Drosophila melanogaster: one gene and its partner. The protein of the gene in region 1 purifies or fractionates together with the protein of each later gene. This does not show direct contact. Each region holds a gene or a part of one and is shown in the gene's direction. Other genes may lie near its edges.

Region 1 (7,176 bases):
TCTCTGCCAGCACCAGCACCAGTTGTCCATCTGGTTTGCCGGCTTTGGAACGCAGCTGCAATAATACAGAGCATAATTGCATTTATTTTTAGACACCCACTGCAACTGCACTGCATCCGCTGAAAGTTTCCACATTCCACGCCGATTTCCATATGCCTCAGCATGTTGCTCATACGCCCGAGTCACCGCTTGAATGTGGATGGGGGGCTTGCCTTGGCGAATTTTTGGTAAACAACAGCATAAAATCATGCGTAATAAACTTACAGCTACGCGTTGCTACGTGCCGAAAGTCTCGCAGTTCCCCGGCTTCCAGGTTCCACCACCTTTTTCCAAGCGTGTGACAGTGAATACTGACAAAAAATGTATTTGTATCTAAAAAATGGAAGCCAAACTGTGTCAGAGCAAACGTTCAAAAGAACTAAATTCTGGATGAGCGTTAAGAATATACGTTAAAATACACAAATTTATTTGTCAACAGCATAATTTAATAGTTAAGTAAGACATATGCTGTAATATGGGGTTACATTTTTTTCAGTGCTAGATTGTGGATGGTATTGGATCTCTTTCTTATGACGCTTGTTGTTCGTTCGTCTCGCTCGCACAACCGGCGGCCTTGTGGGGACACCTTGTTTTTTTTTTGTTATGCTGGAAAAAAACTCATTTAATAATAATAAATAAAGGCGACTGACAAAAGAGTGAGATTGATAAACAAAGAGCGCCGCGCTGATCGATTCGCTTGGCAACCCGTTTTAACGGGACAACGCTCCATAAAACACCAGCCAATACAAAACTATACTATATATACTCAGATACAAATAAAGCAAATTCTGAAACTGCAGCTGGAGTTTTATCTCCGTTCACATCGCGGAAGTCGGCGAGGGGTGTTTCAAAAATATGACCCTCACACCCACGAGGCGGAAGTTTGCCGCAAACAGACATTCGGGAAAATAATTAAAGCAAACAAATAATGCATTTACATGCATGTTCCGTGGGCACATCAAAATGCTGGCTCTTTGTAGAGAATTTTAAATTATTGGCGATCGGGAATTATATGAAAAAATAACTTACACCTGTAAAACTTTTCTTTTCCTTTTTGTTGCTTAAAAAGAAACTCATTTCATAGTGATTGTGGGTTTCATAGCAAGTTTACAAGCTCTTGATTCTCTTATCAATACATATTTTCTAATGATAAGTATCAGCGAAACTGTTATGACATTTGTGGCATTGAATTCTTTTATAGTTTCCCTGCACATTTATTTATGTATTTCCCCAATTGGCGTGTAACATAGCAAAAAGAAAATCAATCAAATTCAATGCTAAAGGGATTTCTTGCCTGCAGCCTAAATTGGCATGCGAACCGGTCTTGTTTACAAACAAATAGTACGTGAAATTATAAGTAGAGGCAGTAAGCTGATAAGAGCGCGTTACGAAACTGTTTCGAAGAAGAACAGCAGTTGGCCAGCAGCTGATAAGAAGGTGAGACAAAGAAGCAAAAATGCCACGCTGCGATAAGCGTGGCGCCTTAAATCGTAAAGTTCTTTTAACTGATGTATTTCGGTAACATAGGCTAATAGCGAATTTAAATTGGCGCCCAGTAGTATTGGGTGTTTATCGATTGACATTCAGGGCTACCTGCCTCGAGAACAGAAGAGCTATCGATAGGCAGGTTGTACAGGGATTTTTTAGTGATAAAGTAGAGTGGTTTTTTCTGCGTCTTTTTCCACGGAAGCTGTTAGTTAAATGAAAAGTAATTTAATTGCAGCAAACTGTGGCTTTAATTAAAAAGGTTTCTCTGAAGGTAAAAAGTACTTTTTCCGTTGAATGCAATTCTTCAAATGTGAACATGCTTAAGTGAAACGCGTGAAATTCCAGAGATTTGCCCATTTTGGCAATATAGGTGTTGTTGTTTTTGTGCTGCGATAGCGCTGCGCAGATCGTCTTCTTGGCTGAAAATCAACCGGATCTGGCTAGAAGGCCGCCAAGCGAGCAGAGCTTAAAGCCAAAAGACACAGATTGATCATTTCTATATGTTTTTGCAGTGTTTCACTCGCCGTGATCAGAAAACGTTGTACACCAGGTGCAACAGGTGCCGTTGTTCGCAAGTGAAAACCAGTTGAAAGCAACTAAAAAAGAAAAGCCCACAGAATGCCGCCCGTGCAGTAAGCAGAATGTTCCGCCCCACTTTCTTAACGTCCTTGTCTTCAAAACGCCCACATATTGCATCATTTGGCAGCATAATAATCATCGTTATCCATTCGCACAAATAAGCATTTCGCTAATTAATAAAAAAATATAACTAATTCAGGCTAGCAGTGCCTATCATTCATGCCCTAATCCAGCGTTAACCCTCTGCCAGTGATGGTGGTGCTTTGGACCCCCATTCAATGCAATTTTCCTGCCAGATGTTTACTCCATCGATGACGTCATGGTCATATTCAAATTTATTTTTAAACGCCGCCACTCGAGTGTGTGTGTGTGTTTGTGCGAGAGTGCGTGTCTGTGTATTGTTTACTCTTCGTATTTTTGTGTGTATTCGTCGGATTTGATTATGATGAGTGGGCCGCTGTTGTGTTGGCGGCAAACCCAATTCCAATTGGATGCTTGAATTTGTAACCCCTTTTGGAGGCCAAGGAATGTTCAATGACTCAACCAGTAATGGGGAGTTGATAGTTACATCTTATTATATATATTGTTTATATACAAACTTTTCAAATGGCGCTCCTGCTTGTAATAATTACTTCAATTACTCATTATAGCCATTCATTGTTATCCAGCTTAAAGCGAATATGATAGTTCTTCGTATATATTTTATATATGTATATATAACCTGTTCCGAAACGATATATCACCAAGCCATCACATCTGCAGCGTATCACGCTTGATATCCAACTGCCATGCGACACTCTCTGTAATGAAAGCTAAACTTCCACGGAATGCCAGAAAGCTTTTTGGCTGTGCATTCGAAGGAAATATGATTCAGACATCGTCAACAGAGCCGGCAAGCGATAAGTCTCATTGTTTTGTCCAGTTTCTCATTTCACGCCCTGCCCTAAAGTCGTTTTTCTTTGCGCTCAAGCTATAACCATGATGTACTCTAAGGCTGAAGTGTAATGGCCTCTGAATTGGTTAGTTACTTACCAACAACTGATCCTGATCTTCTTCTTAATTCACAGAGTCCAGGCAGCGAACATGTCGCTGGGTGCCATGCATTGTACGCGATGTGCCGACGGCTTCGAGCCGACTGAGAAGATTGTTAACTCCAATGGAGAACTCTGGCACACCCAGTGCTTCGTGTAAGTAAACCTCAATGTAGTTGTTTCACTAATACCCTCACTAATAAACATTTTCTAGATGTGCCCAGTGCTTCCGACCCTTCCAGGATGGGATATTCTACGAGTTCGAGGGCCGTAAGTACTGTGAACGCGACTTTCACGTGCTCTTCGCTCCCTGCTGCAACAAGTGCGGCGAGTTCGTCATCGGACGGGTCATCAAGGCCATGTCAGCTAGCTGGCATCCACAGTGCTTCCGCTGCCAATTGTGCGCCAAGGAGCTGGCTGATTGCGGATTCATCAAGAACCAGAACCGCGCCTTGTGTCACGAGTGCAATGCCAAGGTGAAGGCGGAGATTACCGGCCGCTATGTATGCCAAAAATGCCAGTAGGTTTCAAAGGCTTTAGGTGAAAACATGTTGCTAATTACTCTGCTTTTCAGCGGCCTCATCGACGAGGAGCCTTTGCGATTCCGGGGCGAAGTGTACCACGGCTATCACTTCAGTTGCACGGCCTGCGGCACAGAGTTGGATTCCACTGCTCGGGAGGTCAAGAGCCGGCCAGGATTGGCTGCTAACGATATGGTGGGTTTTTTTTTCTTTAGCAAATAAGAAGCAACTGAATTATTATTCCATTATAGAACGAACTGTATTGTCTGCGTTGTCACGATAAAATGGGCATTCCCATATGTGGTGCCTGTCGTCGTCCGATTGAGGAGAGGGTGGTAACGGCGCTCGGAAAGCACTGGCATGTGGAACATTTCGTGTGCGCCAAGTGCGAGAAACCCTTCTTGGGTCACCGACACTACGAGAAGCGGGGATTGGCCTACTGCGAGACGCACTATCATCAGCTCTTTGGCAACCTGTGCTTCGTCTGCAACCAGGTTATTGGAGGCGATGGTGAGTAACTTAATTGAACTATATTCTGGGTTTATTTAATGCGCTCATTCCATAATGCCAACAGTTTTCACTGCCTTGAACAAGGCCTGGTGTGTGCACCACTTTGCGTGCTCCGTGTGCGACACGAAGATGACACAAAAATCGAAATTCTACGAGTACGACGAGAAGCCGGTGTGCAAAAAGTGCTATGACCGATTTCCAAACGAACTCAGACGACGTCTGCGCACCGCCCACGAGATGACAATGAAAAAGAACACCTAATGCCTTGGAGCGAGTCTCAGATCCACACCAAACAGTGCCTTTGTCGTTGTAGACCCGCTTTCACTACCATTTTTAACATTTGAGAAACTAAAACCAAACAAACTAAAACCTCTTGTGCATGTCCTTTCCGTCTGTTGTAATCCGGTTGTGTGTAACTTAAATTTTAAATCGAGAATCAACGGCATCAATAGCTAGGGAACATAACATTGTGTATTAAAAGCCTTTAACGTTGTTATTTAATGGAATTTTATTTATATATAAATGTTTTTAAAATTATAAAACGTAATGCTTATTCGCAATAACTTCGTAATGTGTTTGACCCGATTTAGTTGTGGTGTCAAGTAAATGGCATTTGATGCACTTAAAATTTACAAGCTCAACAGCTTCTGAATAAGACTTCCCGATTTAATTACGGCTATATGGTTGATATATTTGATACTATCAATATGAACTGACTGATGGACCTTCAAAACCTCAGCCAGATAGGAAACCTGTGCTGCATTCGGGTTGTGCGGGAATTCTATAAAGTGTTTGTTCAAATGTTATGCTCAAGACAAATGTTTAATATCCATACCGTCAATCACGCAAAGGTTTGTGGCACAGGGAGCGGTGAAGTCTAATGGATAGCGACGGATATCCATTTCGGTTATGTCCTCTACATTCGTGTAATCGAGGTACATTACCCGGTACTTTGTCTGCTGCCGTGGAACAACTATAATCTGTTCCACTTTGCCACGATACCAGGAACCCTCAAATCTGGCAAGCACATATTCCCTGACACTGTCAAAAATGTTAATTAAATATAAACTTACATTGGTATGGTTATAGTATAGTTACACTGGCTTATAAGGCTCGCAGTCTGTAATTTCTGATAAACGAGAGTGCAAGGCGGAAAATTCGGAGGCGTAGGTGCTGTCAAAGGCCCCAAAAATACCTCGATTTTTTTTTGTACTATCCACAACGATGAGATCAATGCCTTCCTTAGATTCGATTGAAAATCTACGCATCTCAAAAGGCTAATAAATAAATTAATAAAATGTGGCTCTCAATGAGAATTTATATTATCAACTCACAGGTTTTAGGACATGTTCGTTTTTCGACATTACGATTCCATTTGTTTGGGCATTAGTTTTATGGATAACGGGAAGTTCCAAATTTTTTTTATGGTTTGGAAGTTGTAACGGATAATTAGCTTTTGGTGTTAAGCATTGTGTTAAGGAATGTTTTACGTCTTCATCTTTAGGCTTTGGTGCAGTGTCCTGATCAGTTTTAGTTGCCTTATCAGCAAGATCAATAAAGCCAAGCATCTTATTAGAGGCTCCTTCTGTAACCAGTACATTAGTTGATTTTGATTGATCAATTTGTCCGGAGTTCTGTTGCTTGAGTATCTCCTCACACTCATTCTGTACCTCTGGTTTCGTTAACATTTTCTTACATTCGATTGCAGGAATTGCAATGGGTTGATCAATATGTGAAGGTTGCGGACCTTCTAAGGAACATGACTTGATATTCTCGGCCGCAGAATTAGGGTTTCGTAGCAACTTCTTACTGTTGAAAAATGCGTTTAACTGTTCATTTACCGAAAAGTTCATCTCCGTGTTTACTAGTTCCACGAGGTGTAATCCAGGGCACTTTTTAATGGTTGCCATATATTTCTTGCCCACGAATTTCGAGTTGAAGGCAATGACATCATTGGAATAGTCACAATTCAATACATTCTTGAGCTGCACCAGTTGGCTGGAACAGGGCAATGCTTTTAACTCATCATTGATATCCTTAAAATCGAAAAAAGGTCCAGAATGTTTGATTCCAAGATCGACCAAAAATAAGTGGGAAACCTCACGGAGCTTCTTACACATCTTCGCTCGCACATACATGCCATTAAAGTGGACTAGGCACAATCTATTTGGTGGTGGATTTTTTATTCTGGGCAATAACGTAGCTATGGTATTAACCTGTGAAGATACAACACTTTTTAATTCGAAATAGTCTCGTCAACAGTAGAATTAGAAAAAAAAACTCGATTTGCTAGTATTTAAGTATCCAAATAGTATACAGTTTTACACGCAACACTATTTCTTTGATAATATTCATTTATAGAATTTGCTATCATGCACGCATTTTACTTCTAATTTAGGAATTTTCTTGGATTGAAGAAATTTGACTCCATATATAACAAACCTTCTTGCAAACTTCGTCAAACGCTCTTTCAGCAGATTCGCTGGCATCGCGAATATAGCAACGATTACTGGATATGAAGTCCGTAATGTATACCATAGCACCGCTGGGCGGGATGATCGCTTTTGGCGGAGAAACGGGAATATCATCTTTGGCTGCAATGATGCTGGAACGGCCGGCGTTATTGCACTGCAAATCCGGAAGAATAGGTGAACGGCTGAGGGGTATTGGCGACGCCTCAACTACAGATTTGTCAGCGTTTAACGAACAGGCCCCCTCCAAAGTTGATTCCCTGTCGCTCTGGAACACGGAATATTCATTGGGAGAAACCAACGCGGGCAGCGGGATGCAGATGTAACGATGACGTAGCCAATCTTGCCGCTGACAATGCTTGGAGCAGTAAAAGTCCCCGCAGCGCTGACAGACCCTTTCCGCTGCGTTTGCGCAATGGACGCATTTTCCTTTGGCTTGCGCAAGCTGAATTACAAAACAATATTTTGGTGTTCGGCTACTTTTTTAAAAGTTGGTTCTTACTTCATCAGCACCGGCAACTGACTTTTGTGCTAGCA
Region 2 (4,686 bases), on another chromosome or scaffold:
CGAGAGTACGACGAAAAATTTTCAACTGGCGAGAATCTCACGAGCCTGGCGATAGCTATAGCGATGGGCTGGCTCAAAACTATCGAGAGCTGTCACGGTGACAGCTAGAGCCAGGCTGCCAGATCGCTCAGCTATTGCCTAGTGTTCGCTAGAGTTGGCCAGTGTTGGCCAGCGTGCGATTCGGAATGGAGTCGCGAGTCCGAAACTGCGACACGCGCAGGTAAATGGAAAACACAAGTCGCCTCCTCCGCCGCTGATGATGGGAAGCAATTATCCCGAGCACGGGACCAAGCCGAGATCCGCCAAATACCACAAACAACAGAACCACCGAGTGGTGCGCAAGCAGCCGCCGCGTCCCGCTGTTAGCGACCGCCACAACATCTACATCACCAGCAAGACAGACTTTAAGGCAAGTAGAACTGAACTCATGCTGGATGGTGAATCGCCCATGTGCTAAGTGACAGAGTCCATCTCCTTGACAGGCCCAGCAGCGCCGCTGCGAGGAGCTGATTAACTCCGGCGCCCACGAGATCTTTCTGCATTGCATGGGCTTCTCCGTAACCCGCGGCCTCAATATCGCCCTACGCCTCGTCCAGAATTCTGACGGCGCCCTTAGCTACGCCATCAACACCTCCACCGTTCAGCTGGTGGACGAACTGCACCCGCTGTGCGATGCCGAGGACATAACCTTCCGCCAGCGCAACAACTCGGCCCTGCACATCAAGATCCTCAATAACAGTCTCTTCGACATCGCCGTGCCGCAACCGTCGCAGTCCCAGACGCAAGCCCAGTCCCTGGGCCAGTTCCGAGGCAAGGCGAAGGCCAGGCAGTAGCATGTTCAAACTCTCGGAGCTGGTGCGCTGGCTGGGGCTCACCGAGTTCGAGATTCTGGTCAATCTGTGCGGCCTGCTGGTGTTCACCATCACGCTGACCGTCAAGCTCCATCTGCAGGCCAGGGCCGGACCCGGTGGCATACTCCCGGAGCCCATGGGCGACTGGTTCACCGTCTTCAGCCCCCTGTTCTTCATCGACATCTGCAACGCGTACTTTTGCGTCATTGTGGGCATCCGCATGTACCTGGACTCTAACAACAAGCGCAAAGCCCTGCATCGCTTCATGTGGAGCACGTATTTCCTGGTGCTCATCGCCATCTTCAAGTACCTGCTCTGCCTGAAGCTATCCAGCAAGACGGGCCTCGAGTATTCGGAGGTCTTCTCGCCGATCTTCGTTCTGTTGCAGCTCGTGGCTGTGCGCGCCTGCCAGTTGCCCAACTCCATCTAAACCATAGACGTAGTATAGCCCTAGTTCCGTATTATACATATATGTAACTATTCTGAAAGCCTTTAAATCATTGGATTGGTAGTTATCTGTATACGCAATGTGGTACAATAATTTTTAAGCGGTACGAAATTTATCTTTCTGGATATAGCATATCTAATATATACGAATTATATCTGATCTGATTCGGTATGAAGGACATACATACATACATATGTTGTTGTGCTTTTTAATCAATGATCTAATGATCTACGCATTATAATTTTTTTAAAATTTCCAACAATTTAATTTGATGTACAAATTCAAAAACTATTAAGCTGATATGAATTTCTTCTAGCTGTTGTTGTCAAAAGCCACATTTTTTTTAAATTATAAATGAAAAATAACATTTAAGCTCATTGTTTTAATTTAATCTAAGGTCTTTTTAAACAATTTTTATAATTGGCAATTTAGTTTTTATTCGATTTTTTTGGAAGTTTCTCTTGAGTCCGAACGCCAGTGTTGGACAACATGTGTGGTGGGCCTGCGATCAGGTGGCAGCCCCAAGGGAAACTGATTGCTCAGCTCCGCCCGAAACGAATCGAAACAATAACACAAACTGTTCACTTAGTCCGGAATTCTTGGAATCCAGCAGCACCATGTCCACACTGAACCGCCCTAAATCCCCGCACACGCCCACCGCCATTAAAAAGGGCGAGAAGGAGGACAGCTTCTGGGACAAGTTCAGCACTTTGGGCCGCAAACGCGGCACCCGCGAAGGTAAGTCCACTTGATGATTGGAGCTCTCCAGATGGCTATTGTCGGCCAGGAATTGATGGGTATCCCAGAGTATTCCATTCTTGGACCCCTGAACCTCCGAAAAGTGGCCCAAAATGACCCAATGGATCCTCCCCCTGCGCACTGGAAGCTCTTCTGGGAACAGATGTGCGGATGCGCTGATTAATCAGAACATTGCGTCACTGTTGACCCACACAAGCAAACGGCGCTGATAATCGAGAGTGTGTGCGTTTGTGTGAGATGGCCTTGTGTCGTCACCGTTTTTGTTTACCTTGTTGATACCCTAAATACGCATCCGCTTGCTCCATTTGCAGTGAAGAAGGTCCAAGAGGAGGGCAAGTACGCCATCGACTCGCCTGGATCGCCCAGCCAGTATGACATCCCGCCGGAGGACTATGCCCTGCGTAAGTGCATTCGTTTTGAAGGGGCATCTCCTCGTATACCCATCGCATTTCCCACAACTCATCACATTTGATCCTACAGGCGAGCACGAACAGCGCGCCGTCATCGATCCACAGTCCATCAGTGATCCCCAGGTGATAAAGCTGCAGCGCATCCTCGTCGACTGGATCAACGACGAGCTGGCCGAGCAGCGCATAATTGTTCAGCACCTGGAAGAGGACATGTATGACGGCCAGGTGCTGCACAAGCTGTGGGAGAAGCTCACCGGCAAGAAGCTGGACGTTCCTGAGGTCACCCAGTCAGAGCAGGGCCAGCACGAGAAGCTCAACATCGTCCTGAAGGCCGTCAACCATGTAAGTAGTAGTAGTTTATGTTTTGCAGGATTTAAAAATCGGAGTTACCAACATTTAATTATTTATCCATTCTTAAAGTCGAATAGAATAATTTTTATTCGATTTACAATTAACATTCCCTTTTCTCGCGATATAAGAATAAATTTTATCCTTGCCCACACCCACAGACACTCGGCTTTCACCAAAAGATTCCCAAGTGGTCGGTGGCCAGCGTGCACTCGAAGAACATTGTGGCCATATTACATCTGCTGGTGGCACTGGTGCGTCACTTCCGGGCGCCCGTTCGCCTGCCAGAGAACGTGTTCGTGACCGTCGTGATTGCGGAGAAGAATGCGGGCGTGCTGAACGCGCAGAAGTTCCAGGAGCAGATAACGTCCGAGTACGACGACCTGGGCATGCGCTGCGAAAAGGACGCCTTCGACACGCTGATCGACTGTGCGCCGGACAAGCTGGCCGTGGTGAAGAAGTCCTTGATCACGTTCGTGAACAAGCACCTGGCCAAGCTGAACTTTGAGATCAGCGATCTGAACACGGACTTTCGCGACGGCGTATACCTGTGCCTGCTGATGGGCCTGCTCGGTGGATTCTTTGTGCCGCTGCACGAGTTCCATTTGACGCCGCAGGACGTGGATCAGATGGTCAGCAACGTGGCCTTCGCCTTCGACCTGATGCAGGACGTGGGCCTGCCCAAACCAAAGGCGCGGCCGGAGGACATCGTGAACATGGACCTCAAGTCCACCCTGCGCGTCCTATACAGCCTGTTCACCATGTTCAGGGACTTCGCCTGAGTGAAACCCGGATGGAACGAGCCAGCGGGTTGCAGGAGCAACAAGCGGCGCCAATTTTACATTTTATATTAACTTTTTGATAGTGTTTACACGCCTAATTTATGTGCGTTCTCGAAACTGATTGTAGGCGATGCAGCGGTTAAAGCTTACTGATCCTAACTCTCAAAACCACAACTAAATGCTGCGTCGCGTATAATCAGCCCAAGGAATGTTTATATATATATATATATATTTATGTGTCGTACGTCTAACCACTGCGATCTGCTCCAGATTCAGATTGCTCGGAACAGGAAGGAGCAGAGCAGAGCAGAGCTAACCCAAACCCAAAATCCGGCGGCCAGTTGTTAACTTGTCTTACTCACGTGCCAGACGTTGTAGTTGTTACTAAGTGAATTTATTGTATTAATACATTATTTGAACACAATAACCGAGATTGTGCCTTTAGATCACACAGAGCTTTTGCAAATTATGTCACAGATCAGATTTTAACGCTGTAAATGTAGAAGTTTACGGAAAAGTCTTAAAAAAAAATTTTATTGTGTACGTTAAAAATTTGGATCAGAAAAATCAATAAATATTGCCAATAGCATATGTGTTATTCTATTTTAAACAGTTCCAAGGCGCAAAATTTATCTGGGGCTGCAGCACTCACAAACGCCAGCTTCCATCCTATTCACATGTAAGTTCTTTCGAGCGTCTCGAATTGATTGAGAAACAAACCTTAGTAATTTTCTGAACGCTGTGCTATTTGAATTGTCGCGGTTGCGCGCGCAACTCGCAACGGTCTGGTATCGATCACAGCTGCGAGCAGGCTGCCAGATCGCTTCCCGTTCGGGAACGATTTCGCATCGATTTTCGATTGCTGGCCGGTATAATTTGAAAATGTTACTTTGCTGACCGGATTTTGGTCCTTGGCCAGATGTTGGCCATGAATCTAAAAGCCAGTATTTAGTAACTTGCGTTGATTGCAGCCGCTTAACTAAGCCGCTTAGCCAGATATGTCCTAATGTTATGTGTTTCGTTTCGAAACAAGGTGGCAACCATGCGCATGCTTTTTATGATTTTCACAATAGCCGAGCGAAGTTTCA

Evidence for each region. Proteins that work in one complex are often made in the same cells at the same time.
Region 2: the proteins of stck (region 1) and parvin purify together in Drosophila melanogaster (affinity purification with mass spectrometry, with the first as the bait; 2 studies listed by BioGRID). This does not show direct contact.

Annotation. Positions count from the first base shown.
Region 1 is NT_033777.3:8,355,298-8,362,473, forward strand, and holds stck (steamer duck), read left to right. Parts: upstream 1-3,030; 5' UTR 3,031-3,084; coding exon 3,085-3,107; intron 3,108-3,173; coding exon 3,174-3,293; intron 3,294-3,351; coding exon 3,352-3,657; intron 3,658-3,711; coding exon 3,712-3,853; intron 3,854-3,909; coding exon 3,910-4,168; intron 4,169-4,232; coding exon 4,233-4,429; 3' UTR 4,430-4,663; downstream 4,664-7,176. Other genes in the region: veneno, read right to left, coding at 4,798-4,949, 5,004-5,209, 5,267-5,445, 5,503-6,384, 6,611-7,084, 7,142-7,176.
Region 2 is NC_004354.4:19,744,273-19,748,958, forward strand, and holds parvin (parvin), read left to right. Parts: upstream 1-1,768; 5' UTR 1,769-1,916; coding exon 1,917-2,037; exon of another isoform or gene 2,038-2,215; intron 2,216-2,369; coding exon 2,370-2,459; intron 2,460-2,538; coding exon 2,539-2,810; intron 2,811-2,977; coding exon 2,978-3,598; 3' UTR 3,599-4,186; downstream 4,187-4,686. Other genes in the region: Rpp20 (ribonuclease P protein subunit p20), read left to right, coding at 257-409, 483-833; CG33932 (uncharacterized protein), read left to right, coding at 835-1,281; Alr (augmenter of liver regeneration), read left to right, coding at 4,641-4,686.